2 linked regions of the Oreochromis niloticus genome follow. The protein of the gene in region 1 purifies or fractionates together with the protein of each later gene. This does not show direct contact. Links are inferred from orthologs where the notes say so. Each region holds a gene or a part of one and is shown on either strand. Other genes may lie near its edges. The genes, in order: rilpl1 and rab10.

Region 1 (16,475 bases):
AAGCACTGCTCAGCTAGTTGCTGCTTCCAAGGTACAAACTCATGTCAAACAAATTCCTGTTGGTTTGTTAGGTATCAACATACAAAGTCATGTTCAGGCTCTCGAATCTTGAAGCATATACTCCAGGAGGAGTATATGCTGTAGAACTTATAAGGCTGGTATCAGAGGCATTCCCTAACACTGGTGAGCCAGCAATGTAACTCCTTGTTGCTGGTTTTTATCTACTGCTTCAAGCTTTGGAAGTTGCATGTAAGTGGGGATGTGCACAGGAAGCTTTAACACTTATTCCCTCACCTGCAACCACATCTTATGCTCGTATTCCTACCACAGAAATTAAACATTCTCAGGTATGGTGTCTATCAAACATGAACAGTCTCACTCATATTCATGTGTTGGACCAATTTATGCTATAAAGCATCTAGTCACCTAGTCACCTAAACCCAAGTGTCTGCTAACACCAGGTCATCGTACTCTAAGGAGCTTGGAAAGAAAAACGTCTGGACTTCTTAAAGTTTCCTTGAAGACGTTTCACCTCCTGTCCGAGAAGCTTCGTAAGTTCTAAGAGCAATTGGTGGAGTCCCTGATTTTAAGCCCTATGGGAGTGTCCCCAAGAGGGTCAGAGACCCCCTGTTGATCCTCTACCTAATCACATGAGCCAATGAGTGAAAATGGGTGTGGGTCGCAATCAGCCAAGGTTTTGGGTGAACCCAGTGTGAAACCTAGTCCCACCCTATTGTGTGATTTACTGAGGTCAAATGGGTCAAAGGAGCTGGTTCCACAGAAGAGGGGCCTGAAAGCTGAAGGCCTTTCCTTCCCCGTCTACTTTTAAATATCCAAGGAACCACAGGAGTACCAGCAGTCTGAGAGTGAAGCTCTCAAATCTGGATTTAACAGGGAGCCAATGAAGAGAAGCCAAAATGGCAGAAATATGTTCCCTCTTTCTAGTCCCTGTCAGTTTTCTCTTTTCTGGGTCAACTGAAGGCTTTTCAGTGAGTTTTTAGAACAACCTGATAATAATGAATTACAGTAGTCCAACCTAGAAGTAATAAATGCATGAACTGCTTCTACATATTTAATATGCATTTTGAAGGATATATCCAGGTCAAAAATGACTCCAAGATTTAGTCACTGAAGGCCACAGTAATGCCATCCAGAATAAGAATCTGGATAGACATCATGTTTCTAAGATGTTTTGTTTTTTTGTTTTTGTTTTTTTTGAGAGCAGAGTACAGTTACTTCAGTTATATATGAATTAGCCTCCTCAATATTAGAAAAACATCGTAGCATTTTCAACTTGAATTGTTGCATACATGTCATGTCAAAGTAGGTGTGGCAAACATGGTCGTGGATAAAATAATGAATTTATTGATACTGATATAGCCCACAAATATGTTACTATGAGTTACTAGCTGTTACTATCAAACTTAATATAATTAATTAAGGATTTTTTTTCTTTTGTCTGGAGTTTGGCGCCACCTGCAGCACAGTTAAAGTACTGATAACCTATATTTGGTCTGTACCTGGACAAGAGTGAGGCTATTCAGTTTTGTTTTTTGTTTTTTAACAAACAACGAAAGTGAGCTGGATCATATGATCCACTGAAGGAGAAACATGGATTATAAGAATTTAAATGTAACAGAGTTCCTTTGGCATGATTGTAAACATGATGTTCATGCACAAAAACTCTCCAGTGTGGCTAAAACAAGAGGAGTGGGCTAAAATGCCTCCACGGAAATGTGGGTTAAATTACCAGGTGAACAAACACTTGACAACAAACAAACAATTGTAGTTCCTGCTTCCAAGGGTGGGACAACCAGTTAAAAGGTTTAGGAGGCAATTACTTTTCACATAGATGGGCGAGATGGGTTTTAGTAACTTTTTCACTTAATAAGCTAAATCACCATTTAAAAACTCCTTTTTGTATCTACGTGGATTATTGTTGTCTAATATTAAAATGGATTTGATCTGAAACCTGAGAAATAATCAGAAAATAGGAAATTGGGACGGGGCAAATACTTATCACAGCCCTGTACTTCACTATATTTATCAAAGGGCAAAAAAGAATTGGACACGTATCAGCAATAAACTGTTGTCAGTGCAAGTTAAAGCAGCTGATAGTGGCATACATATATGTCAAATGGGCTCCAAATGCCAATTGACAACACAGTGTCATTAAGCACAATGTTAGAAACATAGAACATAAAGGTGATAAAAGAATGTGTGCAATGCTCTACATTCAAGTGAAAGAACGTCATACAAAGCATGAAAAGAAAGGGGGGGAAAAAGTATCTGCTTATCCACAGCATTACTTGGTGTTCCACCCTGATTCATATATCTGTCTGGTTCTTAGGAAATTTCTTAACAAAAGAGATCTATTAAAGGCTATTTTACGTTACTAGGTTAAATATGCCAATGTTCAATAACAGTTCTTTTTACACCTTCAGATGGATGTTTGGGGGTCAATAGGTCACTCTCCACTACATCTTTAACTCTGTCCAAACCATCCTCAAGTAGCTACAGGTTTTCTCTGAAATTATTCTACACACAGATGTGGTCCTCAAAATTGTCATTACTGAGTGTTCTTCTCAATCTTTATAGCTGAATGAAGAGAAGGCTGTTTTTGCATTATGGTGAAGCTACTAAAATGTAGAATTGCCTTCCTGTCTGTTTTCTATAAATACAAATATGAATTGGTTTGTTTGATGTTTTGTTTTTTTCAAGCAAGTACACCAAGGAATAAAACAGATTCACTACTGTCCCGTGAAAAATGCACAGTTGCGCATTGATGATAGTTGCTTTGCTACATTTTGGCTGGAATTGGATTCTTCTTAGTCTTTTTGCGTTTATGTGACAGTGGAAGTTACTAGTTACTTTCCAAATTTGATTTCTCAATAAAACCAAAAAGACATGTTTTTTTATGAAGTGAAGTTTCCCTTTTAAGCCTTTCAGGTTTAAAGGGAAACTGCACTTCAGTGACTGAGTCTCAAAGAGGTAGTAATAGCCATTATTACATTAAAACCTAGAACAAAGACAAAACATGCATACAGCTCTGTGACTGTGTAAGTACTTAGAACCACCTCAGCCAGCATGGTCACCGAGTTACATCCTTTGAAATGTGCCTGCTCTGTGCCCATACATGCACCACATTGCAAAAAACTGTCCTTATGGAAGACAAACTTAAGTACTGCTACTCATTCCAGGTGAAAGCTGACCGCAACAACAAGAAGCTGAATACGCTGCAGCAGGCCTCAAGGCATGTAAATGACATGGCTGCTGTGGTTGTCACCTCCACCAAACATGGGCAGCAGCAGATCTCTGACCACGGTGAGAAGAGAAGCTCATATTGCAAGCAAATAGTTGATGCTTCATATTTTTAGTAAAACTTTATGATAACAGCATAGTTTTGTCTAAAAATGGCAGCATGCATGTAAGCAAACAATAAATCTATACAATTTGGTGAGTGCAAGTTTAACACTTACTTTAGCCCTTTTTTTGGTCTCTTATTTCTGACACTTTCTGCTGCTTAATACTTAACTGTGTTTAACAGCGAGCCAACCTGTCTACCAATGAGCATAGCATAGCTGAGCTAGCATACAGCTTTAAGGCTTGTGAGGGGTTTTTGTTCCTCTATCTCATTAGTGAGTTTGATCAGCAGCAGTTGACCATAAAATCAAACAGACTAATCAAAATGTTTAAATGCTTAAAGTAACCATGAAATTGGCTGATCATTCTGTGATTCACCTCTTGCATGATACAGCTTTGACACTCCAACTGATATTGTTGCCTTTACAGGGTTGATGGACTTCTCCGGCATGTCTCTGATCAAGCTTAAAAAAGAAGAAATGGAAGCTCAGGTCAGAACAACATGTCTCTGAATGGATTGTTTAATTGTTTGTCCTTATGTGCAACTTGCTTGTTGTCCTGGATCATGTGTAAGACAAGTATAAGACAAGTTGAGCCACCTTTAAAGAAACAGTATTGTGACTATGTGAAATCAATGTAGTTTAAAAAAAAAAAAGAAAAAAAGTTTTGGATCTTAGACTGGATCTTAACTGACTGGGTCATTGGGTTTTTAGACGTCTGGAAGCCATTGCCAGATCTTGTGCTCTTTGAATCTTTCAGGTTAAGGTGCTGCAGCTGGAGAGCCAGCTGGAACAGGAGCGAGTACGTTTGGGGGAACTGAGGAAGAGGCACTATGAGCTTGGTGTGTCAGAGGATGGAGGGGATGGAATTGATAGCTTCCCACCACCGCCACCACCTACTCTGCTTGACTCCACGGCAGTGCCTCAGTCCTTTGCACAGACACAACCTTATTCAAACACCCCAGGTTTTTCACAGTCAAATCCCTTTGCACCGAATCAAACACAGTCCTCCTCTCTGCCACAGTCTTACACACCTTCTCAAACCTACACACCTTCTCAAACCTACACGTCTTCTCAATCATACACGCCTTCTCAATCATACACGCCTTACCAGCCCTATATCCCGCCTCAGCCTTTCACACCATCTCAGCCCTACACTCCAAACCAAAGTAACTTAAATCCTCAATCTTATTCATTGTCACAACCCTCACAACCCACATCCAGTCCTGCTCAGCCTAAACAGACCCAGGCTGCCTCACATAACAGCACAGAGCAACACCACAAACTAAGCCTAAAAAAACCAAATATCTTTACCAAATCTGGGAACTTGCTGAAGAATGCGGTGAGTGCTTCTCTTGCTAAAGTTTTATAATCATCTCATCCCAAAGCTAATTGGAGTAGGTGGTGTTTACATGAGTCCTGTTTTTCTTCTATTGGCAGTTCAAACGGGGTGAACATGGAACAGGAGAATCTTGAAGCTGACTGAAGAAGAATCTGACTTAAAGATTTAAGCTAATCACTCACTAGAGGAAAAAAAAAAAATGCTTTCATATTTTGGAAACACTGACTTTTACTACATGTATCACTTGTTAAGGCTCCTGAAAATGTTGTGTAAGAGGAATTTCAAATCAACATTTCTTTGTGCTTTAAATTTGGTAATTAAATGGTAATATTTGAATTATAACACTGATGGCTATATTATCTGTGATTGATTAAAGATTAGAAAATTGTCTGAAATAAAGCTGTATTGTTCAGTTTTCTTTAGGTTTTCTATTCACAATATTTTAACCATTTTAACATTAACGACAACAGCACTGGATGAGTGTCAGACATTAACAATCTTCAAAAATGTTTGGTGGCACAACAGCTTCCACCACGAAGGCTACGTTATCCAGGCATATCCAATCAGGAGGAGTATATGCTGCAGAACTTATAAGGCTGGTATCAGAGGCATTCCCTAACACTGGTGAGCCAGCAATGTAACTCCTTGTTGCTGGTTTTCATCTACTGCTTCAAGCTTTGGAAGTTGCATGTAAGTGGGGATGTGCACAGGAAGCTTTAACACTTATTCCCTCACCTGCAACCACATCTTATGCTCATATTCCTACCACAGAAATTAAACATTCTCAGGTATGGTGTCTATCAAACATGAACAGTCTCACTCATATTCATGTGTTGGACCAATTTATGCTATAAAGCATCTAGTCACCTAAACCCCTCCTACCAAGGAAAAGAGTGGTAGCAGATGCTGAGGGCCAAGTGTCTGCTGCCACTGATACTGAGGCACACCAACAGGTGCTGCCACCTGCTTATAAACTCCCAAATGCTATGTGAATGCCATTGTTGAGAACACTGACAAAATTTGTTTATGTAGAGAGACGTATTAACTTAAGCTCAACACTAATAAAACGGCTCTTGGTTGCAGCTCCCATGGCCCTAATCTGGAAGATTAGACTATTCATTGATGTAGACTGTTGCACCATCTGGCTATGCCCAGAAATTTGCCACCTGGGTGTCATTCTGGACTTAACACTTTCATTCTATAGGGTGGGCCATTTATATGGATACACCGTAATAAAATGGGAATGGTTGGCGATATTAAAGTCCTGTTTGTGGCACATTAGTATATGTGAGGGGGCAAACTCCTCAAGATGGGTGGTGACCATGGTGGCCATTTAGAAGTCGGCCATCTTGGATACAACTTTTGTTTTTTCAATAGGAAGAGGGCCATGTGACACATCAAACTTATTGGTAATGTCACAAGAAAAACAATGGTGTGCTTGGTTTCAACATAACTTTATTCTTTCATGAGTTATTTACAAGTTTCTGACCACTTATAAAATGTGTTCAATGTGCTGCCCATTGTGTTAGATTGTCAATGCAACCTCTTCTCCCACTCTTCACACACTGATAGCAACACCGCAGGAGAAATGCCAGCACAGGCATCCAGTATCCGTAGTTTCAGGTGCTGCACATCTTGTATCTTCACACCCTAGACAATTGCCTTCAGATGACCCCAAAGATTAAAGTCTAAGGGGGTCAGATCGGGAGACCTTGGGGGCCATTCAACTGGCCCACGACGACCAATCCACTTTCCAGAAAACTGTTCATCTAGGAATGCTCGGACCTGGCACCCATAATGTGGTGATCTTGCTTCCATCTTGCTGGAAAAACTCCGGGAACGTGCCAGCTTCAGTGCATAAAGAGGGAAACACATCATGTAGTAATTTCAAATATCCAGTGGCCTTGAGGTTTCCACTGATGAAGAATGGACCCACTGTCGTCGTACCCCATATACCACACCAAACCATCACTTTTGTTGTTCCAACAGTCTTGGAGGGATCCATCCAATGTGGGTTAGTGTCAGACCAATAGCGGTGGTTATGTTTGTTAACTTCACCATTCACATAAAAGTTTGCCTCATCACTGAACAAAATCTTCTGCATGAACTGAGGGTCCTGTTCCAAGTTTTGTTTTGCCCATTCTACAAATTCTGTGCGCCGATCTGGGTCATCCTCGTTGAGATGCTGCAGTAGCTGGAGTTTGTAAGGGTGCCATTTGTGAGTAGCTAATATCCGCCAAAGGGATGTTCGACTAATGCCACTCTCCAGTGACATGCAGCGAGTGCTACGCTGTGGGCTCTTGCTAAATGAAGCTAGGACAGCCACTGATGTTTCTTCATTAGTGACAGTTTTCTTGCATCCACATTTCCAAATCCAAGACTGAACCAGCTTCACGAAACTTAGCAAGCAGTTTGCTAACTGTAGCATGGGAGATGGGTGGTCTCGTAGGCTGTCTTGCATTGAAATCTGCTGCAATGACCCGGTTACTGCGTTCACCAGATATCAACACAATTTCGATCCGCTCCTCACGTGTTAACCTCTTCGACATGTCAATGGCTGTGAACAAAGAGAAACTTGTAAATAACTCATTAAAGAATAAAGTTACGTTGAAACCAAGCATACCATTGTTTTTCTTGTGACATTACCAATAAGTTTGATGTGTCACATGGCCCTCTTCCTATTGAAAAAACAAAAGTTGTATCCAAGATGGCCGACTTCTAAATGGCCACCATGGTCACCACCCATCTTGAGGAGTTTGCCCCCTCACATATACTAATGTGCCACAAACAGGACTTTAATATCACCAACCATTCCCATTTTATTACGGTGTATCCATATAAATGGCCCACCCTGTAGATGCATATAAAATTTGTCACCAAAGCAGTATGTTTCCACCCAATGAACATCTCTTGACTTTAGCCATCCCTCCCTCACTCTTTAAAAGAGACCCTTATCTTCTTTGTTGCTGGCCTTGGATGTTGGGATGCCCTGGGATGTGGTTGCAGTAGGCCCACTTATTCCCACTGCGTGGCAGGGTACTATGGGGAATTGAGGTGCCTACTGAGCCAGCTGGAGCCTACTCTCCTTTCTCGCCTTCTCAATTTTTACATCCCAGCACCCACCCTCTGTTCATATACACATCAACATGGATCGATGTGTATTTTGGTGCATTGTTGTGTCTGTATGTCTGGTGTGTGTGGCCAGTATATGTCTGTGTCTGGGGTTGCTGTGCCTCAACTTCAGTACAACATAGTCATAGAGGATGAAGGGTTGCTTCACCATGCATGAATGCATGTTATTCATTTTTAGTTTTTCTCTCTTCCATATGCTTCAGCTTTATCCTTTCTTTGTTAGTCACAGTTTTTGCTATTGGGCTTAAATTTTTTTTACATAAACACACAGTGGTCATTTTTCACTTCTTCACTTCAGGATCTTAGCATTAGGGTAGCCAGCTAGTGATAACCTGTTCTTATATTTCTCAAAAATCCACAGTTTGACCTCTCCCCACATTTCAATCTTCATTTCTCAACATAGTTGTCAGTGGTCTGTACAGGGTCTGATGTTTTTGTGTTTATTTTCTGTTCCTCTCTCACTTTGTAAAAGTCGCTTTGAGTTCTAGGTGGAAGTGGGCTCTGTGAGTTCGCCTGTGTTCTTCTATTTAGATTGTCCTTCTCATACCTGAGGGCTGGATGGTGTAGCAGATCTCTGCCAGATTGTCTTTGCTATGTCTCTGCTTTACATTGACTAACTTTGTTACCTTGTTGCCAGTCTGTGCCAAACCTCTCCTGTTCTCTTCATGCTGCTCCGAGGAAATCTGAATGCACCATCAGCTGCTTATCACCAGAATCTAGCACCTATAAGGTGAAGGACTTTCCAGAAACTTGCTTACCTGCACAATGACCCTTCCTGGTCCTCAGCCACTCAAGCCCTCAAGTAGCAGAGTTAATCCAGTTCTCTAACTCTTTCCGCAAAACACATATCCTTCTTAGCCTCAGCTAATTTCAGCTCCCCCAAAGACTGTAGAAATGGGCAACACGGTGGTTAGCACTGTTGCCTCACAGCAAGATCTTCATATATACATTTAACTGACTTCAGTATGAGTGTCTGGTGTAAAGTAAACCTGGGACAATTTGTCAACAGATTTGTTGACAGAAAATTTACAAATCTAAATGTTTAGATTGCTGGTTTGTTTTTTCTTCTTTGTTAACATTTAGAAATATTTCTTTATATATCATTGTTCCTATTATTGTTATTATAACCCAGTGTTACAATGCATATAATATGACGTCAGTAAATATGAATGTAGTTCTGTTATTTCTGTTGTCAGTGATTCATTAAATGTTCAAAGACTCTAGGTAGACTCTAGGTACGTGATGCGTTGTTTTAGGCGTTAATCGTCTCTTCGTGCTGTAATATATTCACACAGCAACCTCGTCCGTCTCTTATTTCAGTCATGCGCAATACAAACTGCAACCTCACCACTATGGAAGTAGCCACTGTGATTCACGCAGGGACCAAACAGGAAGTAAAGTTAGGGAAAGGCAACCGGCGTTCGACTTCATCATATTCAAAATAAAAGCACTAATAAACGGTACAAGGCAACAGTGTAATCACAACTGGTACTCTGTATAAACCTGATGCACTGTTAAATTATTGTTTTGTCCATTGAGATAAGACTATTGATCTGCATAAGAACAGCAGTGGATACAGTAGGTCATGGGCCCTCATGAACAGCACATGCAAAAAGTGATGGTATTACTATACCATCACCATACCATGGTATTACTAATGACATGGTGATGCAAAATATATCAGCGTTTCACCACGTGTTACTTCGGGGTATGTTGAAATTTTCTAAGGTAGGCGCTTTCAGTGTTTCATATTTAATTTTAGCCTTACCCACACTCCCTTTTGCCAGGCCACCATTTTAAATAAGAAGTTCTTAAGGCGTCGCTTTCAGGTATTACCTGAAAGGATGACTCGGCCCCGTGTTAAGATTCTGTTGATCTTTCTTCAACACCATACACAGATGTTTTGACCATAAAGTCATAGCAGTTGTTTCTTCGTGTTCAGCTGGAAGCTATTTAATTTTGGAAAGGCTCATTTTGATATACAGGAGTCGATGATAAGTGTGCTTCTAATGTTACTCTAATGAATGAGCCTTTACTTTTCGTTGTATAAGAATAGAATTAAATGGTTTTTACATCTTTACTTAAAAGTAACGTTTTGGAATCTTGTTTTTATTTGTTAAAAAGCACATTGCTTTGCTTTGCATTAGTTAAAACATCTCAATTATAAATATATGAGAAGAGGTTGGAATATCTTTCTCCTTGCGGGTTTTATTTTGAAACGTGCTGCCGAAATTGTGAAGTTTACTTTTGTAGTGGTTGACAGCGGTAGCTGCTAGCTTACAGGGGCACCGCAGCTCCAGCAGGACAGCGATGGGACTTAGGCGATATGTATCTCAAAAAAATCAAACGGAAGGCTGGACTGAGCCGCTAGTGATGGATACGCAATAGTTTCAGTGTTATATGCTGCTTTAAGGAGTCTCTGGACACCGCTTATCAAGCTGAGGACATAAAGCGTAACTTAGCAGGCTTGTTCTTCACGGGGGAGGAAGTTTGTTGCGGCGAAGGGAACATAATAGGAAACCGGGGAGGGACAAAATATCTCGACATGGAGGACTTCGGGTCGGCCCTGGAGAAAAATGTGGCTGACCTCACGGTGATGGACGTGTATGACATCGCCGCAGTGGTGGGGCAGGAGTTTGAGCGGATCATAGACCAGTATGGCTGCGAGGCTCTGTCTAGGCTCATGCCCAAAGTGGTGCGGGTCCTGGAGATCCTGGAGGTGATGGTGAGTCGCAGCAGCATCAGCCCGGAGACCGAAGAGCTGAGGCTGGAGCTGGACAAGCTGCGTCTGGAGCGCATAGACCGGCTGGAGAAGGAGAAGAGGCACAGAAAGGTCTCACACTGCACAGCCACAGAGCCAATCACTCTCTGCTCTACAGAATAAAAGTGGAAATCAAGATTTAATTTGTCAGTGACTGTCATACTATGTTTTTGATCCGTGTAGGTCAGGACGTGTTCAGATCGTCTTCCTAAGACGATACTAATACCACAGTAAAATGTCCTGCATTTATAATGTGACCCGAGTCAAAGTAGTAAGTGTCACTCTACTCTAAAATGAATCAGGCACAAGAAAGTTTTGGATGCTAAACAATGTTAAATAAGTTGAACAACAACAACAACAACAACAACACCCCCCCCCCCACACACACACACACACAAGTACACAGAGTATTAATATGATCCATTACAGTCAATGTTGTATAGTAATATTTTGCACTCAACCATAGAAAAAACAAAAGAACACAACAAACAGTAAAATATCTATAAAAGCATTACAAGGCACGTGGATAGTGGTAACAATTACTTAAGTAAAAATCCTATAACAGGAAGGATAACCTGCTAAAAGAGCCTTTTTTCATTATATTTAAATAAAAGCAAGTACTGAAGTAAAACATGTATAAAATGCTTTTAGTGCACATTATTAATGTATAACACTAAATAGAAATGCACAAAATAGTCAAAAAATTAAAACATCATAGCTGCAGCCATAGTAAGTAGCATTTTTGTGTTTCAGCCAGAATAAATGGTGGACATAAGCTCTAAGAAGTGAAGCAGGAGGTGAAATTTCTAAACCTTTACTTTTTTTAATAGATAGCAGGGGGCAGTGACTCTGGTTTCAAACTTAAGTTAGATTGGAAAGAAGTCTACGATAAAGTGATCCTGTTTCTGACATGATTTATGATCTTGGCAAACACTTACTTTGTGAACTTATGATCTGAATTGCCTTTTTCAAGTCTCATTTAATAACAGATGATGTTAATTTAGTAAATTCTAGTAATATTTAAAGTAAAAATGACAAATCAGGTTTGGGGTGAGGCTTACTTTGATTGTATGAATACAGTGTCACAGTATGGCTGTACGTAGTATCATCAAGCACTCCTGTCAGATCAAATCCTTGATCATTATGTCCAGTTTTAAATACAGTCTGTGGCTGAAGTTGGTCGAGGTGGAGCTCCAGTGGTTGAAATGACTTTACATACAGATAGTGCTTATTCTAAATCTAGATGTAGATTCATCCAGTGTGGTAGTGAGGTGAGTATAAATTATTAATTCATATTCATTGGTGTAGGAGTTGGGTAAACTTTAGAAATGTCTAGGAATGGGTTTCTTTTTCCAATGGTTCAAGAGCCACTAAAAACAATTTATGGAGTAAAAATGTATTCATACACCATGAAAGGAAAAAAAATCATCCTTAACCACGTGCTGTATTTTATAAGGCAATTATATATTTGTATATAATCTGAAAGTAGCTATAGCTAGCAGACATAAAGGAATTGAGTAAAAAGTACATTTCCCTTTCGAATCTAAATGTAAAGTATTATGAAATGGTCAAGTAAAATATAAATGCAGTGCATTAAAGCATCGAGCTTTAAATGTTTTCATTTATTTTCCATCTTTGTGAATCTAAAAGTAGATCCTATGTTTGGGGTTTGAAATAAACCGGACACTCAGACTGCTCAGCGCTATAAAAAAAGTTAGTGTGTCAGTTTCTCGTGACAGTGACTGAGCCACTGGTTCACATATTAACTGTCTCGTGACCGTGATAAAGTGGAGAAGGCTGTTTGTGCTGCAACTCACAGGCCATTTGAAGCCAGCACCGTTTTCACATGGAAATGAAAAGCTCACATCCACAGTGAAAATATGTGGTGTAGTGTTTATTGGCTCTGTGCACAGTTTTCTTTTGTGTATATAAAAGCTAATGTAAGAGTTGTGCAGCAGTGTATATAATAAAACTTTGTGTGGGTTTTTTTTGTTTTGTTTTTTTCATGAACCCAATGACTGAATATGTAGCATATGTTGCCCATGTGTAGTGCACATGCTCCCATACTAAGCTTCCACTAAAATCAATGAAACTGATTACAGCAGGCCTCGGAGCAGTGTGGAATGGCACATGTCCACAGAATCTGTCATTTCCACACCTCCCGTGCACAGTCTGCGTAGCCTCCCGTGGTACCTTCCATCATGGTAGCAACCAATGTGTCAAATTTTGCATGTTTACAATCCTTAAAAAGTCTTTCAAATTCTCTCTTGTTGATGACTGTAACTCTTACTTTTGCTCAGAATCATAACTAGCTGTCCAACAACGATTTGGATACAGTCACCTCTGATATCATTGATAATAAAGATTTAAATATGGAATCACATCTGAAAAACATGCATCACATTTTTAAAGTAATAGTGATGTTTACCTATTCATTCACAGGTACACTGGAAAAATGAAGTACAAACAGCAAATTATGCATTCTTGTTAATGCGGCTGCTTTAACAATATGAACAGAATGACTCATACTTCCTGTTTCCTGTTTGTTCCTGGTTTTCCAGTTGCTATATGAATCATTTAAGGTCTGAGTGACTGACTTGAAGAAGATGTTTCGTTTTTGGTATCTGCCAAAATTTGTCCACAATTTAAAGCAAGACAGTTCGACTGTGTTTTATAGGCTTTTGTCATTAACGCATTACTCTTTGATTTGACGATTGTGTTCTTTAAAAGCAAATTACTGCAGTACATTCTGAAAGTTACAGATGTTGAGATTTCTTTTTCTTACACATGCGCATAAACCACACAGAGGAAAAACTCAGAAGACCACAGCAGTGCCAGTTTTGTTTTGTAATGCCGGTCTTCCTCTGGGCACCATAAATGCTTGTAGAAACTATGTCCATCCAGTTTTTGTTGAGATAGTCAGGACCAAAGTGGAGCAATGGGTTGATCCTCCCATTACACAACCAAAATTATTGCGAATGTTTGCACTGAAATTGTGATCTTGTTAGCTTTGAAATGGTTCCTTTGAACCAGGGAAGCAGGTCTGTACATAAGTGCTTGGTAATATTGCTTTTATGTACAATCACCTTGCAGTCAACCTCAGGCAGCAAAAAATCTCAATGCAATCAGGCCTTCCTAGTTTTTTACTCTAGTGTTACTGGGCCATAACAAATGTGATCAGTAGTGATATATGTACAGCATAACAGTATGTGCGTATGTGTCTGAGCGCAGGAGTTGGAGCTGGTGGAGGATGTGTGGAGGGGAGAAGCTCAGGATTTGCTCTCCCAGATTGCTCAGCTGCAGGAAGAGAACAAAACCCTTCTCACCAACATGTCCATGAAAGACCCCATGAGCGAGGAGGAGCTGCAGAGGCATGAGGGTGAGGATGTGGGGCTCCATCAAAGCAAAGTACTGTCTACCTTAAAAGAAAAAGAAAATGTGTTATATTTTTTCATGATACACACCAGTTTACAAGTGACTGAGAATGTGAATGACTTACAAGTCAGTTGCTTTAAAACATTATTATTAATATGTGTTATTCACTAATAAGTGTTTAGAAATGTTACTGCCCTATACGCAAATCTTTGAGACCAAGATTGAATCGAGTCAAAAGTAGGCTCATTGCCATCACTTTTCAGGAACAGTGTGGTTGTGCATTGGTCCTACAAAGAGCTTTGCAGTTACCATCGGATTTCTGAAACATGTACATGGGTAATTTTTTTTTTACTAACACTGTGAGCATGTGCCTAATAATAATTTCAAACAACAGACTCCTGCTTCAGTGTTGGGAGTCTGCATGCTACCACTCGAAACCTGCTGATACCTAGTAATGTTTACATCACAGCAGAGCATGAAACAGCTTGTCTTTTGCTGATTTTCCTGGAAATTCAGTTAAAGTTTGTGCCGCGTGTGGTCCGAAGCTTGTCCGTTTGCCCTCGATACGTTTCTCATGTGTGTCCCTCTATCTCTCTCTGCTGTGCACGCAGTACCACACTCAGATACAAACACAAACAAAGGGAGCCTTCTCTGTGTTAATGGTGAGCCAGTCTCATCCCTGCGTCAGAGGCTTCTCCGTGGTCTCACACAGAGGCCACAGTCACCCTGACGCACAGACCAGCTTCAGTGTACAAGCACACCTGCAAGCCTCACACACAAATCAGAGCTCACGTCTGCCTGTCAGCCCAGATGAAAAATCTATCTGTCCTGTTTATTTTTATGGTTGACAATTTTTTTCCTCTGTCACCCGTTTCCAGGTATGTCAGAAAGGGAGAGGCAGGTGATGAAGAAGCTCAAAGAAGTGGTGGACAAGCAGAGAGATGAGATTCGAGCCAAGGACCGTGAGCTCACTCTGAAAAATGAGGACATAGAAGCAGTAAGGACACAAACTTGGTGCCTCAATGAGAAGAGGCTGTTTTTTTTCTTCCTGTGTGAATTATAAAGAATTCAGATATTTTCTATATTTTAAATATAACAGAGGCCTGGTTAGATGGAGATGAGCAGCAACTGTTTTGGCTCAGTATTGAGGAGACATATATTTGCTGCCAGTGTTTTACTGTTTAAAAAAAGGTTAAAAAGCTCAGGGAAAGAACAGAAAAAATAATAATCTTAAGATTATCAGAGTGCCCGAGTTCCCCACCTTCAATTTCTAGCTTCCCACCTCAACATAGGCTAGGAAACCCTGGAAATGAGCAAAGTATTTGTTTATTTTCTTACATAATTTGTGCAAAGTCTCAAATAATTTAAGTTCTTTATCTTGATAAAGAACTTCAAACCTTTGAAGTGGATCATACCAGTCTCAAAAACAAATAGCCTACATGTATAATTTACAAAGTCTCTCTTTATCAGATGCAGGGTGTTTGATGTGTTTTGTGTGGCTGTATTTCTTTTGTATAGATTAGGTTTCAGATAACAAAGAGACCCCACCTAAACGCGACAGTGTAATGTGAACAAGCCAGAGTAAAGGTCATGCAAAGGACATCACTACAGACCAGTCTGGATTGTGTAGCAAATTGAAGACATGGCCATAGATCTGGAAAAGGTCAACGAGTCAGAAGCTCACATAGAGGACTAAAATTTCTTCAATAAACATGTAGAATTTCACAAGATGGCTTTTCAGAAAAGCCCTGGATCTGTTGATCTGTAATTCCAGTCATGCCAAAATGTATTGGTGCAAAATGCAAATATGCAGGTTTTTGGTTCTCTCAGAGTGACAGAGGTTATACATGTTACAGAAGAGGTTACAGAACTCATCTTTTGGCCTTTTGTCATAGCTCTGCTATGAATATGGAGGCACTTTTTAAAAAGGATGGATGAGTCCTGGATGAGGTGGTGGATAAAGGGAACGTAAAAATGCTGTGGCCTCAAGTTCAGGATGTTGATGAAGAAGATTCTTTAGCAAGTCAGCTAATCTACTATTGATCTACTGGTTTTCCAAATCTTTGTCAGAAAACTAAACCATTACTAATATAAATAACAGCAGCTCACACTTTAGCTTGTGAATACAGCTGTATACAACATCATAGATAAGACTAATACCAAGGCATGTGCTTATGTGTATAGTAAATTGATAGTTAACATGGGTTAATGATCTAATTATGACCAAAAAGTACAGTTTAGGGAACAGTTATTCTTGTTATAACCGGCCTGTTTACTGTGAGCAGGATGAGAGACAGCAGAGAACAGATGAGACACCAAAATAGCTACTAGAGATCTGAAGAAAAAAAACTTGGATAGGCAGATAAGACACAACACAGAACTATGTGATAGTATGTGATACTACAGTTAAACATTCAAAACAGGAAACATATTAGCCAATCATGTTGTTTTGCTGATGCATGCGCACAGTAAAGGTTCCTGAACGTTTCAGGAGTCATGTGAT
Region 2 (16,563 bases), on another chromosome or scaffold:
ACTCAACAAGGCGAAATCTTGGGCTGTATGGACAGGATAATTTATATTAGAACACATTTACACCTATTCCTTTTTGCTAGCTGTCTTTTGGGTTCGATCTGCAATAATTTGAGTCACTAAACTTACATCTTGACTGTTTTTTCTGCTGTTGGTGCCTTTCATTGCATTGCAATGGATTTACAATAATATGGCTAATTAAGCTAGCTCCACCCTCTAATTCAAGAATGGTTTCACTCCAAAAACTCAGATGGAAATGGCCATAATGTACAGTGATCCTGAGCGGTCAAACACACTGCAACTTACAAAAACACCAGTAAATAGAAAAACACTGTAAAAGCACACATAACAGACAGGTGTTTTTGGGCAACAATAACAGATAATAATGGGACGGAATAGCTGTGGACGTGACAGAAGCCAAAACATGTGAAGGAATGCACTGAGATGCCTAAAAGAAGCAGAAGCATCTGTGTTGTGATGGCAGGGGTGCCTCCACAATGTTTTCATAGGGATGGCTATATAGAGGGCACTAAAATGTTGGGGTGTGCTAACAACCTTCTGTCTGTGCGTGTGAGCGCACTTGCAGGCTCAGGTGCAGGGTTGGAGGGGAGGGGAGGGGAGGTCGGTGACGGCGGGAAATCACGAGGAACATACAAAGTGACACAATACAAGTGCCCCCCTGGCCCCCCTTTGATGGTGGCCCTGTGTACAGGAGTAATAGATACAAGGTAATGTGTGCTTAATCGCATAACACTGTAGATATATATTTGCGATTAGCTTTTTAGTGTTAGCGTGTCAGCTTTTCCATCACATTGTTGTCTCCCTAAAAACACTTTTTTTTTTTACAAATTAGGTCTTCAAAACCTGGACATTAGATACGAATCTTTCTAATTACATTACTGTTACAGTGGCTCTTTCAGTCTTCTGTATGTAGTCTATGGTTTATTTTTGAAACTGGACGATAATACAAACCCTTTGGTTCAAAAAAATCTTTCACTCAATAAGATTTTCTTTAATTTAAGAGCCACCACTGGGTGACAATGTGCGGTAACAACTATTCAAAATTACGTTTGCCTATATTCCAATATATTAGCAACTCTTTATGTTTTTTACCCATGTTTGCAACAATATGGATATTAAGTTGTCATATATTGACTTTAGCTGCTTTGCCTACATGGAAGAAATCCACATATAGGTAAAATGGATCAATTTGTCCATGCACATCAGTTTTGTTTGGATTCTTGAGGATAATTATAACCTTTGTAAATCTGTAAAAACCCTTTCTTTCTCTGTTATTACACTTCTCCAATTGCTGCTACCGCTCTTACTGCTCTCTTTCCGCCTACACTGAATATTTTTTAACCCACTACTGAATGCATCAAGTTAACACCCCTGCTGTGGGAGCTTTTAGAGGATCTCTAGTAGGCTGAGAGAAAGTGGAAACATCAAAAATTCAAAAAACACCATTAATATTACTCCTAGAATACACAGAATATCACAAACTGATAACAGTTGAGAAGGGTTTTCATACATCATACTGCCCTTCTATTGCTCCCCTAGAAGAAACACTGAAAATGTCTTTGTCCTCCTCTCGTCTCCTTACTCCATGCCCTCGGGCTGATCAGTAAGCCGATCTGCCAGTGTCTCGTGTTGGATGGTCGGGAGACTGCAGCTAAAGTATTATAGAGTGAGTCATTCAGTCATTCTGCACGAGTGACTTATTGACTGGATATGCCCATGAATCAGAGCAACTAATTAATGCAGCTCTGACTCAGTCTTTGATTGCAGGCTGTGTGATGGCGTGTGTGATTATAGCAAAGAGAGAGCTGACATTTTAAGCTTCAGTGGCTCCAGTGCCTGTCGGGACATATGAGAGACATCAGACCAAACTGTGGATACAGGGTGCTATGTGGGAAAACACATCTATGCACAGCTATTAATAGTCCTAAATGAAGATTTAAAGAGATCTGACTGGTTTTGTAAGTGTAGTCTGAGAAGGAAAAAACTATAGTAACAGCAGCTATAGCTGTAGGAGTCTAATCAGCAATATCAGAGCAAATAACTGTAGAAATGTTTGTATTTCAAGTGAAACCATCATACTGGCACATTCAAAATACAGACTGCAGAGTATGAGTACACTAATCTGTGTCTTTGAAGGTCACATTGAGGCGTTAACAAGCTGACTGTGTACTCAGACTACAAACCAGCTTTTACAATGCAGCATACAGAGCAGCATAAGAGTCCTAGCAGCTCAGTCTCATCACAAAAATTGAAATAATCACAAAAAAGCAACCCATTTGTATCTGTGCACTGACAGACAATCTGACAGACATTAATTTTTTTGTGACAGTCAGCACTATTTTGAAAGTGTTCATCCATCAGTCTTCTTAACCACCAATCCAACTCAGGGTCATGAAAGGGCTGGAGCCTACTCGAGCTGTCATTGACAGGAAGGCAGCGGGGTGCAGTGCTAAGACAGACAGACAACCATTCACACTCACAACCACCAGTTAACCTAACATAGGTGTCTTTTGACTGTGGGAGGAAGCAGGAGTACCTGTTCCTGTGTGCAGCACATATGTTGACACATTAGAGAGTATAGATCTCCATAGCAACCGAAAAGAATAGCTTTGAAAGAGGGTAACAACTGTATTTAAACCCAAACCATGATTTTTTTCTAAACCCAAAACAGTATTTATATTGCCTAACCAAACTGTGGTCTGCAGTGTATGAGCAGTGAAATGATTCACCACAATACCAACCCTTCAGCATCCAAACCTTTAGCCCTTTAAAAGTATAAAATATTAATTTTAATGACTATTTCATAAACTGCTGTGAGACTGCACTGGTTCTATACCTTATAAGCAATCAGATTAGCAGTAAACGTTTAAAACAAACCTGAGGATAATAAACACAAACTATGGTAGAGTACAGCAATACAGAGTGCTGATAGTGCAGCAATTAAACAGACTGGGGCTTAATCAGTTCCTTTAATTAAAAAAAAAAAACAATACAATGACCAATTCATTTGATATTCATGTTTTTATATATTAGTCAATTAATCTAATTTAACTCTAATAGAACACTCAAACCAGTAGTAGTGGTGACAACATTTGTAGAAGAAGAGATGGTCTTCCTGATGCAACCCCAAAGGGAACTGGATCCTTTGCTTGTTAGGCAAAGGTGTAAAATGCTACACTAGAGAATCAGAATCAGAACCAGAATCAGAATACTTTATTGATCCCTAGGGGGAATTATGTACCACACTAAATTATGTACTAAATGTACTGAATTATGTACTACACCACTGGGCCACTAATAAGAACACTTTGTAAAGGTTAGCTAGCACATTTACTCTGAAGCACAGCTGCAGATGGATGTTTGTATGGTTAAAACTTTCAGATTACATTTTAGTGTAGGTTAAGGTCAGAGTTTGGCCTTTAGTTATGATATTTGGGATTAGAGTAAGGGTCCAAGGAGACGTGGGCAAAATACGACCCTCGGTCCGAATCAGCCTGCGCACCATCTCAATCCAACAACCACAGAGAAAAATCAATCAAATCCAACACTGTGTTAATGAATCTCAAGAAGTGTGTCTCCAGCGAGTCTTTGGGTATTCAGGCCTGTAAAACAATCTGTCATGTCCACCAAATTAACTGAATACCATACTTCAGCACCATGTGTGTCATGTTTGACTTTAGATGTCCTTTTTCAGAGAGAGTATGGCCCTCTGGAATAAAACGTCAAACCTAAAATAAGAGGATTCTTTTCTTCTACTTTAAAACAAACATTAAGATGACATTCAATAAGAGGGTTTAACATTTATTCAAATAAATCATAAAACTGTTAAATCATCGATCAATGCATTTTCTTAACCGCTTATCCACTTAAGAGTCACCGGGACACTGGAGCCTAGCCCAGCTGTTACTGAGGCATACACCCTGGGCAAGTCGCCAGTCCACTCTCAGAAATCATCACTGTACAATATCAAAAAGCTTCTGCTAACATTATCAGGGAGAAAAGATCAATTACATGTATATTTTAACAAAATAGATCTTAAAGTCCAAAATAAATGAATAGGAAGTGTTTTATTGGACCTTATTAAATGTCTCTTTTGTGATTTTTAATTCTTTAACCACTAACTTTTCCAATAAATTTGTTTTATTTCTAGTACTTTTAATTTAATCCAGAGAATTTCTGCACCAATACAATGTGTAGCACCATCTAACATCACCTATGGAGTTTTGGCATCTCTCTACACTTTTCACCATTTGTTTCTAGTTTTTGTTCTCACTGTTTAATCTCCTGCTCTCTTCTTTTATGGCCTCAGAATGTACTATTCAATTTGTCTTTTGTGTGTGTTTGTCTGGAATGGATAAAAGAAGAAAGAAAGCAAATAAGGAACAAAGAAAGACAAGAAGATTAAAAAAAAACAAGTAAACCACCTGGTTGGACTCACCTTGTACTTGGCGGTCAGCTGTTCTGTGGCTTCCTGCTCCTTCCTCAGATCCACCATCATCCTCTCTTTCTCTCCCAGCAGTTTCTGCTTCTCGTCAGCCATCAAGTCCTGGTCTCCTCTAATGGCCTCCTTCTCGCTCTCTAGCCGTTGCTCCTCCAGCTTCACGTAGTCCTCTCCCTCCTTCTCGACCTCCTCGTCCTCTTCGTCCTCAATCTCTTTCTCCTGGTCTCCGTCCCAGCTCTCGTCCTCCACCTGCTCACTCTTCTGTTTGCTCCTCCACTTCCTGTGGTTGAGCTGGGCCCTGAGGCGAGCAATCTCCATCTGGAACTCCCGCAACAGAGCATCCTTGGGGTCCTCGTTGACTCTGGGCTGGTTCTGGATGTTCTTGGCCCGGTTGGCGTACCGAAGGGTTGTGAGAGTCTCGTCGTAGTGCTGGGGGGCCGGGCCAAGTGTGGCAACCATAACAGTCTTAGCATTCCCGCCCAAAGAGTCCTGTAACAGCCGGGTAAGCTTGGAGTCCCGGTACGGCACATGTCCGCTGCGCCCATCTGCCAAAGCGGAGATAACATTTCCCAGTGCTGACAGGGAAAGGTTGATCTTGGCGGCCTCTTTCAGGCGCTCGCCCTGAACGCCGGTCTTGGTTTGCCGCTCGCTGCCAGCCAGGTCCACCAAGTTAAGGCGTCCAACCCGGATATGTTTCCTCCCATCTGGCCCAGGCTGACTGCACTCCACAGTGATCAAAAACAAAGCGTGGGACCTGGACGAATGTTCATTCATGTCTGTTGCCCCAACCGCCCTCGCCTGATTGCCCACATTCATCACCTCCTCAATCTCCTTGATGCTCTTGCAGACACAGGATGTGAGATCTTGAACATACACACCAGTCTCTGGATTCTCTCTGAGCTCCAGGGCTCTAGCATTGCCGTGATTGGGGTCAAGAAGATCCCGAATCTCCTCTCGGTAGATCTCGAGGTAGGACGCCCGCACTAGGTATTGCTTGTCAGATTGGGAGCGGGAGATGTGTGTGAAGATATGGTCAAAGGCATTGGGAATCACACCTCGTCTCTCTGGGTCCAGCCACGCTCCCTGCATGGTGTATGTCTTCCCAGTTCCTGTCTGCCCATAGGCAAATATGGTGCCATTAAACCCTCCCAGCACTGAATCTATCAGCGGCCGCACGCTCTCGTCATACAGCTCTCGCTGTTTGGAGTTTGCATCATACACTGCATCAAATGTGAATGTTTTCTGGGGCTCGCTTGGTGGTGCACGAGGGTTTCTGAGGATTACCTGTCCCAGCCGTAGATCCATCTGCACTATTCCCCCTGCAGGCCCATTGGACTCCTCTTTCCGGCTCAAAGGGCGGCATCGAACTACCACCTTCACTGACTCACTGCTCTTGTTCTTTGACATGACTGGCTTCTGTTACTCGTTGCAAACAACAAAAAGGGTAAATGTGTATTATCTAAGTCCACAAAGCCCTCTGAAGCCCTTAATGAGCATATATCCCGTCTGTTAACTGCATGTGTTTCTTTAAATCATTCATTCAAAAAAAAAAAAATCATTATGGCTTCTTGGTCATATCACAATGGAAAACAGCCACAGTGCCAAATAGCATAGACTCAGATATTTACCAATACAGATGATGAATTGCCACTGTGTGTAACAGCCAGTTTCCTTGGCTTATTGTGCGTGAATGAGCCTACAAGCAGACGGACGATCAGCACCTCTCACGCTTTGGATCGACGCTCCATTGCAGTCCGATGAAAAAAGAAAAGATCCAACAACGCCGGTAATGACACAAATCAGTTCAGACATCACACTCATATCGTCCTCGGCGTGCAGCTCCGAGGCAGACCGCTGTACGCATCCTCCCGTCCTCCGCGCAGAGATGCTCCGAGGTGGATTTGCAGCTCTCGGTCCGTCCGGAGAGACAGAGCTTCCCTCTTGTACACCCCCCTCCCACCCCAAACCCACATACACAGTCATTCAACCACCACCACACCCCACATCACTGCGGAGTGGAACAAAGAATCATGGGAAATAGAGTTTTGCCTCGCCAAAGACTCGATTCTTGTCCAAGGCTGCCACCAACTCGTTAAATGGTCATGGATGGTTTGTACAGCTGGGAATTTAAACTGGACCGTTTGCGTGTTTGTTTACACAGTGGATGCCCCCATAATTTGAAACATTTTCTTAAAATTATAGTTCATATGTATTATTATAGCCCTCGCACCGACATTTAGCCCACACAGCTTCCCATTTAAGTGCATTAAGCTTGGGAAAATTAAACACAACCCTCTCATTACACACTGGATGTTGTCATAAAGAAAAGTTCATCTAGCTGTTTATTTTCAAACTGTAGGAAAATAAAAGAAACATGGGATCTCCTCTAAAATTAAAATAAAGCTTTGGCCCTTGAAGAGTTCTTGGTTACCCAGCAGGAGTCTGTATTTACTGGATCACTGAAGGGTCAGCTGGGTTATTTCCTGCTTCTGTGCAATTACCTCAATTACCTCTATTCTCACAATAATAGAGACAGAAGATATTCAAGAAGCCACACTGTCACTGCACAAAAACACAATAAAAAGGTGATGTGATCAAACAGGAGTGGCACTGGATACTTTAGTGGAAATAGATTTGTTGCAAGAAAAATACAGAGAATATTATTGTAGTTTATTTTTGATTGATTGATTTTGCTCCAAAAGGAAAATAAAAGCACCATCCCTCCTCTAATGAGCCACGTATTCTCAAGTCAACACTGTGTGACAGACGCTTTTCTTAAAATCTGACTTTTGTCCAGTGGCTTTCAAGAAAAAAAATAGATGCATCTGTCAAGGGGATTATGCAGCATTTTTCAGAATGCAACATTAACTACAGCAAAGACACTGCAAAGGTCCACACCTACAGTAAAGACCGGGATCTGTTGGAAAGTGGTTTTCAGTTTTCAGACAGTCATAAGGCCTATTATCAATTACATACTCTTACTTTCACCTAGAGTAATGTTAAAAAAGACTAGTACATTTTTTTATAGTGACATCATAAAAAAAAATTAATTAAAGAGTATAAAGAATTATGATCTAATCCTGTACAGTATCAATAAAAACATAATTAAAACAGGACCCATATGTGCAGAAATTATTTTAAAAATATATAAGCAATAATTACGTTTGTTCTTCTGTTTGTGCTGCAAATAACTAAGCGTGAACAACAAAACCTGAATTAATTAAATGTTTTATGTAAAAAAAAAGTTAATTATTTAAAAAAACAATGTGCCAGAAAGGTGACTCTGCGCTGTGTAAGTATAGTCACTAGATCCCCGAGTTATGTCAAAGAAAAAATAATTTCCTTCTGATTTGGATGAATCCGGGAAGTATAACTCATATTTAAATGGCTACACAAGAAACGGAGTAATTTCCCAAATTCATGACTCATCTATTGAAGAGAGAACTCCAGTTTGTATACAACTGTTGTCCCAAAGCAACAAAAATTTAGGGCAAGGAGGGAAAATGTAAAATGAATCATTTTAAAACTCATCTAAGAGCATTCAAGTGCAACACATTAGCGCCCTCTGCTGGATCAAGTGTGTCGTTAAAAGTCACCCAAGTAGGTCGAGAGGACTCACGTGAGTAGTCTTTCCAGGTGTAATGGAGGAGGTGACGTTGTAGGTGATTTCGGAGCGATTCTCTGGAAAACTACCGAAACTTACATTCAACTACTTCCCCCAACCCCCGTGTTCGCTGACAAAAAGGTGAAAATCACATGCCCAAATCCCCACATGGGGAATTCAACACACGGTGGGAAAGCTAATGGACACAAATGACTCAACACCTCACTGAGCACTGAGATGTGTTTAATGTGCCCGGAGAAGCAATAATAAGTAAATGTACTGAACTGATGAAAATAACACATAATAGTAGTGAAAATTCCCCCGGCTCAGGTGATCCCGGTGTCACCTTTCATGAGTCACTCACAGCCAAGGCTTTTTCAAGCTCACCACAGACTATCCAGCTATGTGTGAAGTAAATATCTGGATGCGATTGCGGGTAATTTGTATTATAAAAATGCTAAGCAGCTGATTTAAAATAAAAATAAAAACCCATTAATATATCAAGAATTTATGGGTTTCTACTGAATAAATGAGGTTTCTGAAGTTTATTGTTGGACCAAAATAGGCAAGGCAAGGCAAGGCAAGGCAAGTTTATTTATATAGCACAATTCAACAACAAGGTGATTCAAAGTGCTTTACAGAGACATTAAAAACAAAAACAAATAAAAAGCATGATCTAAAATTGATTAAGACAAACAAACAAACAAACAAACAAACAAACAAACAAAACAGTGTTTAAAATCAAAAATGAAAACAGTAGATAAAATCAGAACAGTAGATAAAATCAGAGCAGTAGATAAAGTCAGTAGTTAAAGTAGAATAGGTAAATCAAGTAGTTGTTTCAGCACCAGTGCGCAAAAAATCAAAGTGTTCCAAGCCAAACAGTTTGAGGCCTGAATCAACTTGCATATCTTCTTCATCTAAGCTACAAAATAAATACGTCCCCAATAGAGCGTTTTAATTTTTTTTATCACAGGCAGAAGGAAGAAATTTGAGAGTTGTTGTTCGTGCGAGGCAAACCCCGAGGGCCCCTGAAAGAATTTCTGTGTTGATTTATTAGAGTGAAAAAGATTTCCTAACAGTGGAGGAAGAATGCAGTGATTCATTTAGTATTAAAAAAATGTTCTAATTTAGCAAGTGACACATAAAGAAAATCTGAGATAAATGATTCCCCATTTCCGGACAGGAAAAATCATGGATCCTGTAACTGTGCAGGAATTCATGGATTTAAGTAAACAGATCATAACAACAATGTGTGTATTCACTGCATCACTTAAAGTATATAAGCTTTCATTATAGTCCCTATACTTTATTACTTTAATGAATCACTTTGTATCTTATTGACTGCAGGTTTGAGCATGTGTGTCTTTTCTTAATTTTCCATATAGTGGATAACTCTTTTCTTTCCCGTGGGTGTTTGCCTGAGGAAGATCTGTGGTTGGCTGGCACATAAAAAGTAAAGGGAGCGATGAAGCTTTGTTGACTTTGGTCCACTGCAATGTGGCGAGGAACTTTTAACTCCAGGCTTTTCATCTAGCACCACAATGTGGTCAAATTTCAGTTTGTTCAGTACTCTGGTGGCATTGTGACAGCTCTCTGTAGCAGACGTAGAGTTGCTGGAGTGGCAGTATAGACTATTTAGCCCCGCTCAAACTTTCTTTTTCTCTGACTTCTTTTTCTCTCTTCATATCTTTCTTCCCCAGTTTGCGTCAAGTCTGTACTTGGCAGTGGAAAGCAGGGCATACTCAGCATTCCTAAGGAGTGTCTGAGAGTCAAACAACTCTGACAGGCGGAAGAAGGAAAGAGTCCCTCTCCTTCTTTCTCACATACACACAAAGCCAACTCTAAAAGGCCCTACAGCAGTTATGTGTACATGCAGACTGTCTCTCGGTGTGTATACTTATTACAAGACTTTAGAGGATCAGTGACCTTGCACTTCACAGAGCAGAGGATGTGGGAAACGCCCGTAACAAGCACAGAAGTACTTATATATGACATCACTTTGCCTGACTCACAGCTGGGATAGTCACCGCACCAACTGCCAGCTTGCCATGAAAGCTGAAACACACCCCGGCTACAAGAGATCCGCATGAAACTCGTCGCCATTTTGGGTCACTAGCGGGATTTCACAGTGAGATATAAGCGGTGCTTTGAGCCTAAATGTCAGCGTATGTTACACAGTAACATTTGCCCTTTCTGTCAGGCTAAGACACGCCCCCTTTTTACCGCTACAATGCCTGTTTGGATAGCCATTCAGATTAGGGCGCTTGAAGGAGCGACAGCTGAAATGACCAATCAGAGCCGTGAATTTTGACAGAAAGGGCGGGAGAAGGCGTGCCAAAAAGTCTAGGGTGTCGCCGCGGTGGCTCCCATTCGAAGGCGACGGCGGTCGTCTGTATTTCGGTCTAATCTCTACAGAAAAAAAAAAGCGAAATTACTTGGAACAGACAGCAGATTCGGCGCACTTTCATGTCGTGATTTTTCCCAGTTTCTTCTCGGTCGAGCTTGTCCCAGGGCTCTGGAATGACGGGGTGTGCCGAGAATTTGAATTAGCTCGCCGTTAGTTTGAAGAAAGAGTGAATCGGGGTAGAGTGCGAGAGAGGAGCCATTTTGTCCCGACTGTGTGGGAGAAAAGAAAGAGTGAAAAAGAGGTATCACACAGAAGGAGATCCTGTTTTTGCTCTCATGCTGTAAGGGGGGGTACCACGGTCGGGTTTGGGAATCTAGAACTTCTAGGACGACTCTACAGGCACATTATTTTGGGTGGTGTTTAGCCAACTAGCTTGCCAAAGCTAATCAACAAATCCACAGTTTGTTAACTGTTAACAGCCAAGAGGACAGTTGTTGGTCAGGTTGGCCAAGGAGCTGGCTTTAGACTTCACATAGGCATACTCTAGGGTATCGGTTTTTGTATCTATCGGGGTGAACACAAACTGATTCTTCAATGGCGAAGAAGACGTACGACTTGCTGTTCAAGCTGCTTCTGATCGGCGACTCGGGCGTGGGGAAGACCTGTGTGCTGTTCCGCTTCTCTGACGACGCCTTCAACACAACCTTCATCTCCACCATAGGTAAGAAGATCACGGGCGTTGTAACAGGTGATTTCGTTGACCCTTCTGCATCCGCCGGAGGTAGTGTGACAGCTGTGAGGCTCGTCTGGTCGTACCCTGCAGCTGGAGGCTGTATGCAGGACGGATTTGTTGGTGGCTAGTGTGCTATGAGCATGCAGCAGCTCTCTCTAAGGCCTGTACAGGTTAGCTGGGAAGCTAGTTGTGCAGCCTTTATGAGCTCTTACTAAACCATCACTTGCACATTATTTTCACATGATTGCGACTTTAATAACAAAACGCTATCATTATTTCTTGGTTTGGTTTAACTGGGCAGCAATGATTACAGCCCGTTAAGTCTCCAAATTTGCTGTCAGTTTACTTGACCCAGAGGCTAAGAAGCTAGCAAGGCTAGTAGCACCACAGGGCCGTGCTGCACTAGAAAAAAATCGCCTGTCTATTTAAGTGACAGGTGTTTACTTCTCAGTATCAGCCTATATAGGTTTATTGCACAGTCCTTGTCAGGAATTACACCCTAAAGGCAACAAATGTATGAGTGTTTTGATTTGAAGCAACAAGAAATGCTTGATTGTAAAAGCAAAATTTTACTTGATTATCACAAGTTGAAGGTGTGATTATTCACGGGTTCATGGTTTCATGGGTATCAGAATCAGAAAGACTTTATTTATCCCCAAGCGGCAATTAAGATACAACAGAGCAGCATGACGTTGAAGATAAGGACAGGATTCATGCTTCAGATTGTTGTCCCCGCTAATAGTAATGGAGGTGAAGCTGTTTAATCAACTTGGACATTCTCGTATTGGGAACTTGATTATATCATGTAAGAAATTGACGTTTTAGGTGAAAACTCTGACTATAGTGAATCTAACTGTATAAAAGCAGCTGAAAATTGCAATTTCTTTTTAAAATTAGAAGTGCTTATAGTTTGTATTCTAAATACTTGAGTAAATATACTTATTTACTTTGCTCAAGTGCTCCAGTGAGAACCATAAAGAATTCATCATGATGGCATCATCATCACCCCCCCCCCATCCGTCCTGTTCACGCATGCGCCAAACATCACGCTCACATGAGTCAAGTGTCAAACTATGTCAAGTCCCTGCATGGCCCAAGTAAAGGCTCCATTTACTCCTGTTGCTTAAGATTAGCGATGAGTAATAATGTAATATAAAACGTGCTTTGCTCGACTGCAATGTGCTGGTGTTATGTGCTTGATTCATGGACTGAGCTTTCATCTGAAGCCGTGCTCTTTGTCGCTATATAGCCGAAAGCACACAACTGTAAAGGGAAAATGTATTCTCACTGGCATCCAGGCTAGATTAGATTTGTTCAGCTAGAGCACTGACCTGTCACTCTGTTGTAAATCTTCATGTCACATGTACTCGTTTTATTGTTTTTGTCATTCCTTTAGTTTTGCTTTGACTTGCAGGGTGTTTGTTTTATTACACCCCATGTTGTTTCTCAGCATGCAGTCAGTTAGAACAAGATTTAGGCCTATGTGTTTTATTTGAGTCAAAGCCACCATATCAGATCTGTGTCACTTAAGGGAAGAAATGTGTAGTGTTAGTTGGATGAAGGGGAAAAAGTGGTCCAGACTAACAGGTTCTTCAGCACGTAGAGACCGGTAGTGACCTTTGCTCCTTGCATAGGTGCTTTCCTGGCAAGATGGGTAGTAAGTCAGTACTTTTATGTTTTTAAATCAGCTACCAGTGCTTTATTTGCTTTCTTAAATATATTCTATATACTCTGTGTACTCTCCTCCATGTGAAGCAGCTGAGGATAATGTGTTAAAATGGTGCTGGAGGTATTCACACCTTAAACTCAAGGGATTTTCCTCCAAATTAAAAAAAAAAAAAAAAAAAGATATCATCATCAAAACTAAAAATCAATAGGGTTGGAATGAAAGTACCTTTCAGTTTATTTATGTGGTGTTTCTTTTACTCAAGCATAAAATACATATTTGTTTATCAAATGGCCATAACTAAATGGGAATGTAAATACAGACTTGATGCTTTAACTGTGTGCAGATGTAGTCATCGCCCTTAAAGGTCCCTTTTGAGGCAGGAAACCCCGAAACATACCCAGTTTCTGTGTAGTTCATAAAAACAGAGTAGTGTTATCTGGCACAGCTTCACCTACTTCCAAGGTGCATGGATAAGAACAAAAAGTCAGAATGTGTTGTCCCTCATGAAGGTCAAAGTTCACAAGCCAAAATGCATCAGTCAGATAATAAAGTAGTTCTGTATATTGCAAGTGTTGCTGGAGCTTTAACCTCTCTGTGTAATTACATGGGAACAAACTATGTTGGTTATGAAGGTATTTAAAGTATCAACGTGATCAGTCACAAGTGCTTGAAAAGAAAGTGTTGACAACACTGACTGTGGTCAGTTTAGTTTAGGAAGTGATCGTTTTAGAGTGTTCAGTTTGTTATGATCTGTCAACTTGAAACTTAAGAGGAAATACTTGAAAATCAAAGAACAGAGTCCTCTATAAAACTGCAGCATAGTTCGTGCGCTTGAAAGCTCTTGGCTCGTCTCTTGTCTTTGTTCTACATCTGTATTCAAAACAAAGCCGCATGCAGTGTGATAAGCTGTAAAAATTGTATGTAGAACATGTCATCTTTCTCCAGTCACGTAATCTGTACGTAGAGTGGTGTATATGGTTATCAAAGCAAATCTGTAAAACTATACTTTTAAGATTATTTCAATCAGTACAGTTGATAATGTTCTAGCGAATCATATAATTACAAGATACCAATAACTTGTATGTAAAGGTTAAATACATACTGGATACTGTAAAAATTACTGTATTTTTAAGGTTAGAAACCCAAACATTGTTAAAAAGAAGCTGGTTTTTTTTGTTTTTTTTTTTAAAAGTTGCAGACAAAATGCGGGGGTGGGGTGGGGGGGGGATAAATCAATGCTAAGACAGTTAAAAGAAGACAACAGTAGATAGATACCTTTGTTTTTATTTATTTTAAATAATCTTGTCTTGTCTATGGTGATACATCAAAACTGTGCAGTATAAATGTCTCTGGAATATATATCTATGTAGGCACATTTATACATATCTAATCCAACACAGACTTGCAAATGTTTAAAGAGTAGGTGTGTAACCAAAACAATGGTTCAGTCTGTGCCTCGGGTTTTATAAGGAATGTATGAACAACAAGGAAAACACAATCACTTGAACATGAACAAAAATTAGACTGTATTTGCAATTCACTCATCACCTGAACAATCTGTACTGCTTTCACCAGACTAGTATGCTTCATCAGTTTCACATGGATATCACAGTACAGGAAGCCACAATATTAAATTGTGGATGTTTGTATATGATTTCAATCTCATTTTCAGAACTGTCATGCCTCTAGTCAAGAGGCTAGGTTTGAACATGAAAATGGGGTCCAATGAAACCACTAGCATGTGACAACCCTGCCACAACTGTACAGTCACCTAAGAGTGGTTTGAGGTTGGGGATGAGCTTATCAAGCAGAAATAGTTTTCAGTATTCACTAGAAACTGTCAGTTTCTTGTTCAGTACCAGTGCCACTGTGGCAGACCTGACATGCTAGCTTTACCTGGTGGCTTATGCACCGCACCTAATTTTTGAAGAAGTTTTACACAATTTTTTCCTTTTTTTTTTTTTTTTTTTTTTTCTGCTTGTACAATATCATCTATTCTCACTGCGCCACACATACTTTACCAGCCTGATCTGTGGTTGTCAGTAGTGCATTCTTCTATTTTTGTTGTTTAAGTGGTTGGTGGGAGACAACTTTACATTGGATCCACAGCTTATATCCTACCAGACAGTGGTCAAAAACTATTGAAGGAGCTATTCACCAGGATGTTACTCTCTAGTTTTGGACTTAGCGTTTTGAAGCTTCAGTGTTAGTGTTTTGGCTGCCACCATGTTGTTTTTTTGGAGCCAGGAGTTAAGTTAGTTTGATAGCTCTGTTACCTAACATATCAGCTAATGCCTAGCAAGCTTGGTTGGAAAGCTACATGTGTTAACTGTACCTGTGCAACAGCTCATTAGCACAAAGAAACAAGCTAATTAAATACTAGAATTTGACTTCTCGCGATCTTCGAAAAATAGTGATGTTTATTCTTTTTTTTAAACCGTATCACTACATTAAGCAACAGATAAAATGGCCTTTAATTTGATATAATGCTTACAAGATATGAGATAAGGTTGACAAAAGCTTTTCCAGAGTAGCTTTATATATAACATTCCAGAGAAGCCATAAAATTTCTCTCGGTTACATTTAGGAAATCCTCCACTAAAGGGGCCAGATTTACTAGTTAATAAACACCTAAACTAAAAAGCTGAAAGGAACAAAACTCCCAACGGCAGAAGCAGGACATGAAATGGGAATGTGTTCTTCCTCTGACACAGGACTCATACCATTGGAGACACAGATTCACAGCTGTTTCTCAAAATACCCCCACTGGAAACCCCCCCTGCTCTCTTCCATCACTCATTCCTGCTTCCAGTCCGTCTCTCAGCCCCTCCCTTACACATTACGCTTATTAAGTGAGTGAATATGCATAGTATCGACTGAAATCTTTTTCCATTTGATGAATTTTGCGCGGAAACTGGCAGAAGCAGACAGTGGCTTTCATACTTGTGGAAGGAATGGTTCCTCTGGTATTAAGAAAGAAAGCCGACCATAAACCGCTTGCGTCCAGCTCAACAGTCACATCTCATGGAAAGTGTCATTCTTTACAGGATAGGTATAACTGTTTTTCCACTGATTGGATAAATGATCCGTGATTGCACAATGCGCATAACTTGTTTCTTTCTCTTTTTTTCCCCTTCACAGAGTAAAAAGAGTGAACTTCTGTGTTTACTCTCCTCACTAGTAACACGTCATCCCTGTTGAGGCTGACTTCAAGAGCTTAACTTTTGTTGTGTAGAAAAAGCTCCCTCTTTTACCAGCGTTAAATGCTAGCCTTTCTTTCTGTCCAACTGTATCTTTCTCTCCTTGGGATGTGCATAATATTTCATGACTCAGGTTTTGGCAGGCAGTTTCCTCATTATTCTATAAACTTGCCCCACCTAGAGCACAGCTGTTTCTTGGACTTTTTAACCAACCACAACGTCTGACCAAGAGCAGTACTGACAGCTCAGTATTTAGTAGGAAAACACCACTTGTTGGCTAAAAATGAAACTGATGAATCACCTACCCTTCACATTTAAAGTGTAAGAGGATAATGATCTAGTGTGTTTTACTTTCAAGTGGGAAGTTGATGGTTGAATTGCCTTCTTATGTTTTCTAGCTTTTCCAAAGAGAGAGAAGTTATTGGTTTGAGTCAAAAAATCCCCTACTGTTATTTAGTTCATTATGGTTTTGAAATGCAGAAATCCTACATATGCCCAGGTGAGGTGTTTAACAGTTACCGTAATATCATGAGTCATTGGCTGTTTGT

The links.
Region 2: the proteins of rilpl1 (region 1) and rab10 purify together in Homo sapiens (co-immunoprecipitation; 3 studies listed by BioGRID and IntAct, with this or other methods). This does not show direct contact. The link is inferred for Oreochromis niloticus from reciprocal best matches to the Homo sapiens genes RILPL1 and RAB10.

The regions. Positions count from the first base shown.
Region 1 is NC_031972.2:11,430,275-11,446,749, forward strand, and holds the start of rilpl1 (RILP-like protein 1), read left to right. Parts: upstream 1-10,078; 5' UTR 10,079-10,381; coding exon 10,382-10,669; intron 10,670-13,828; coding exon 13,829-13,976; intron 13,977-14,850; coding exon 14,851-14,969; intron 14,970-16,475. Other genes in the region: hip1r (huntingtin-interacting protein 1-related protein), read left to right, coding at 1-31, 3,201-3,324, 3,793-3,854, 4,123-4,704, 4,803-4,838. UniProt on the Homo sapiens protein: Plays a role in the regulation of cell shape and polarity. Plays a role in cellular protein transport, including protein transport away from primary cilia.
Region 2 is NC_031980.2:17,350,656-17,367,218, reverse strand, and holds the start of rab10 (ras-related protein Rab-10), read left to right. Parts: upstream 1-10,408; 5' UTR 10,409-11,007; coding exon 11,008-11,134; intron 11,135-16,563. Other genes in the region: kif3ca (kinesin-like protein KIF3C), read right to left, coding at 4,457-5,866. UniProt on the Homo sapiens protein: The small GTPases Rab are key regulators of intracellular membrane trafficking, from the formation of transport vesicles to their fusion with membranes.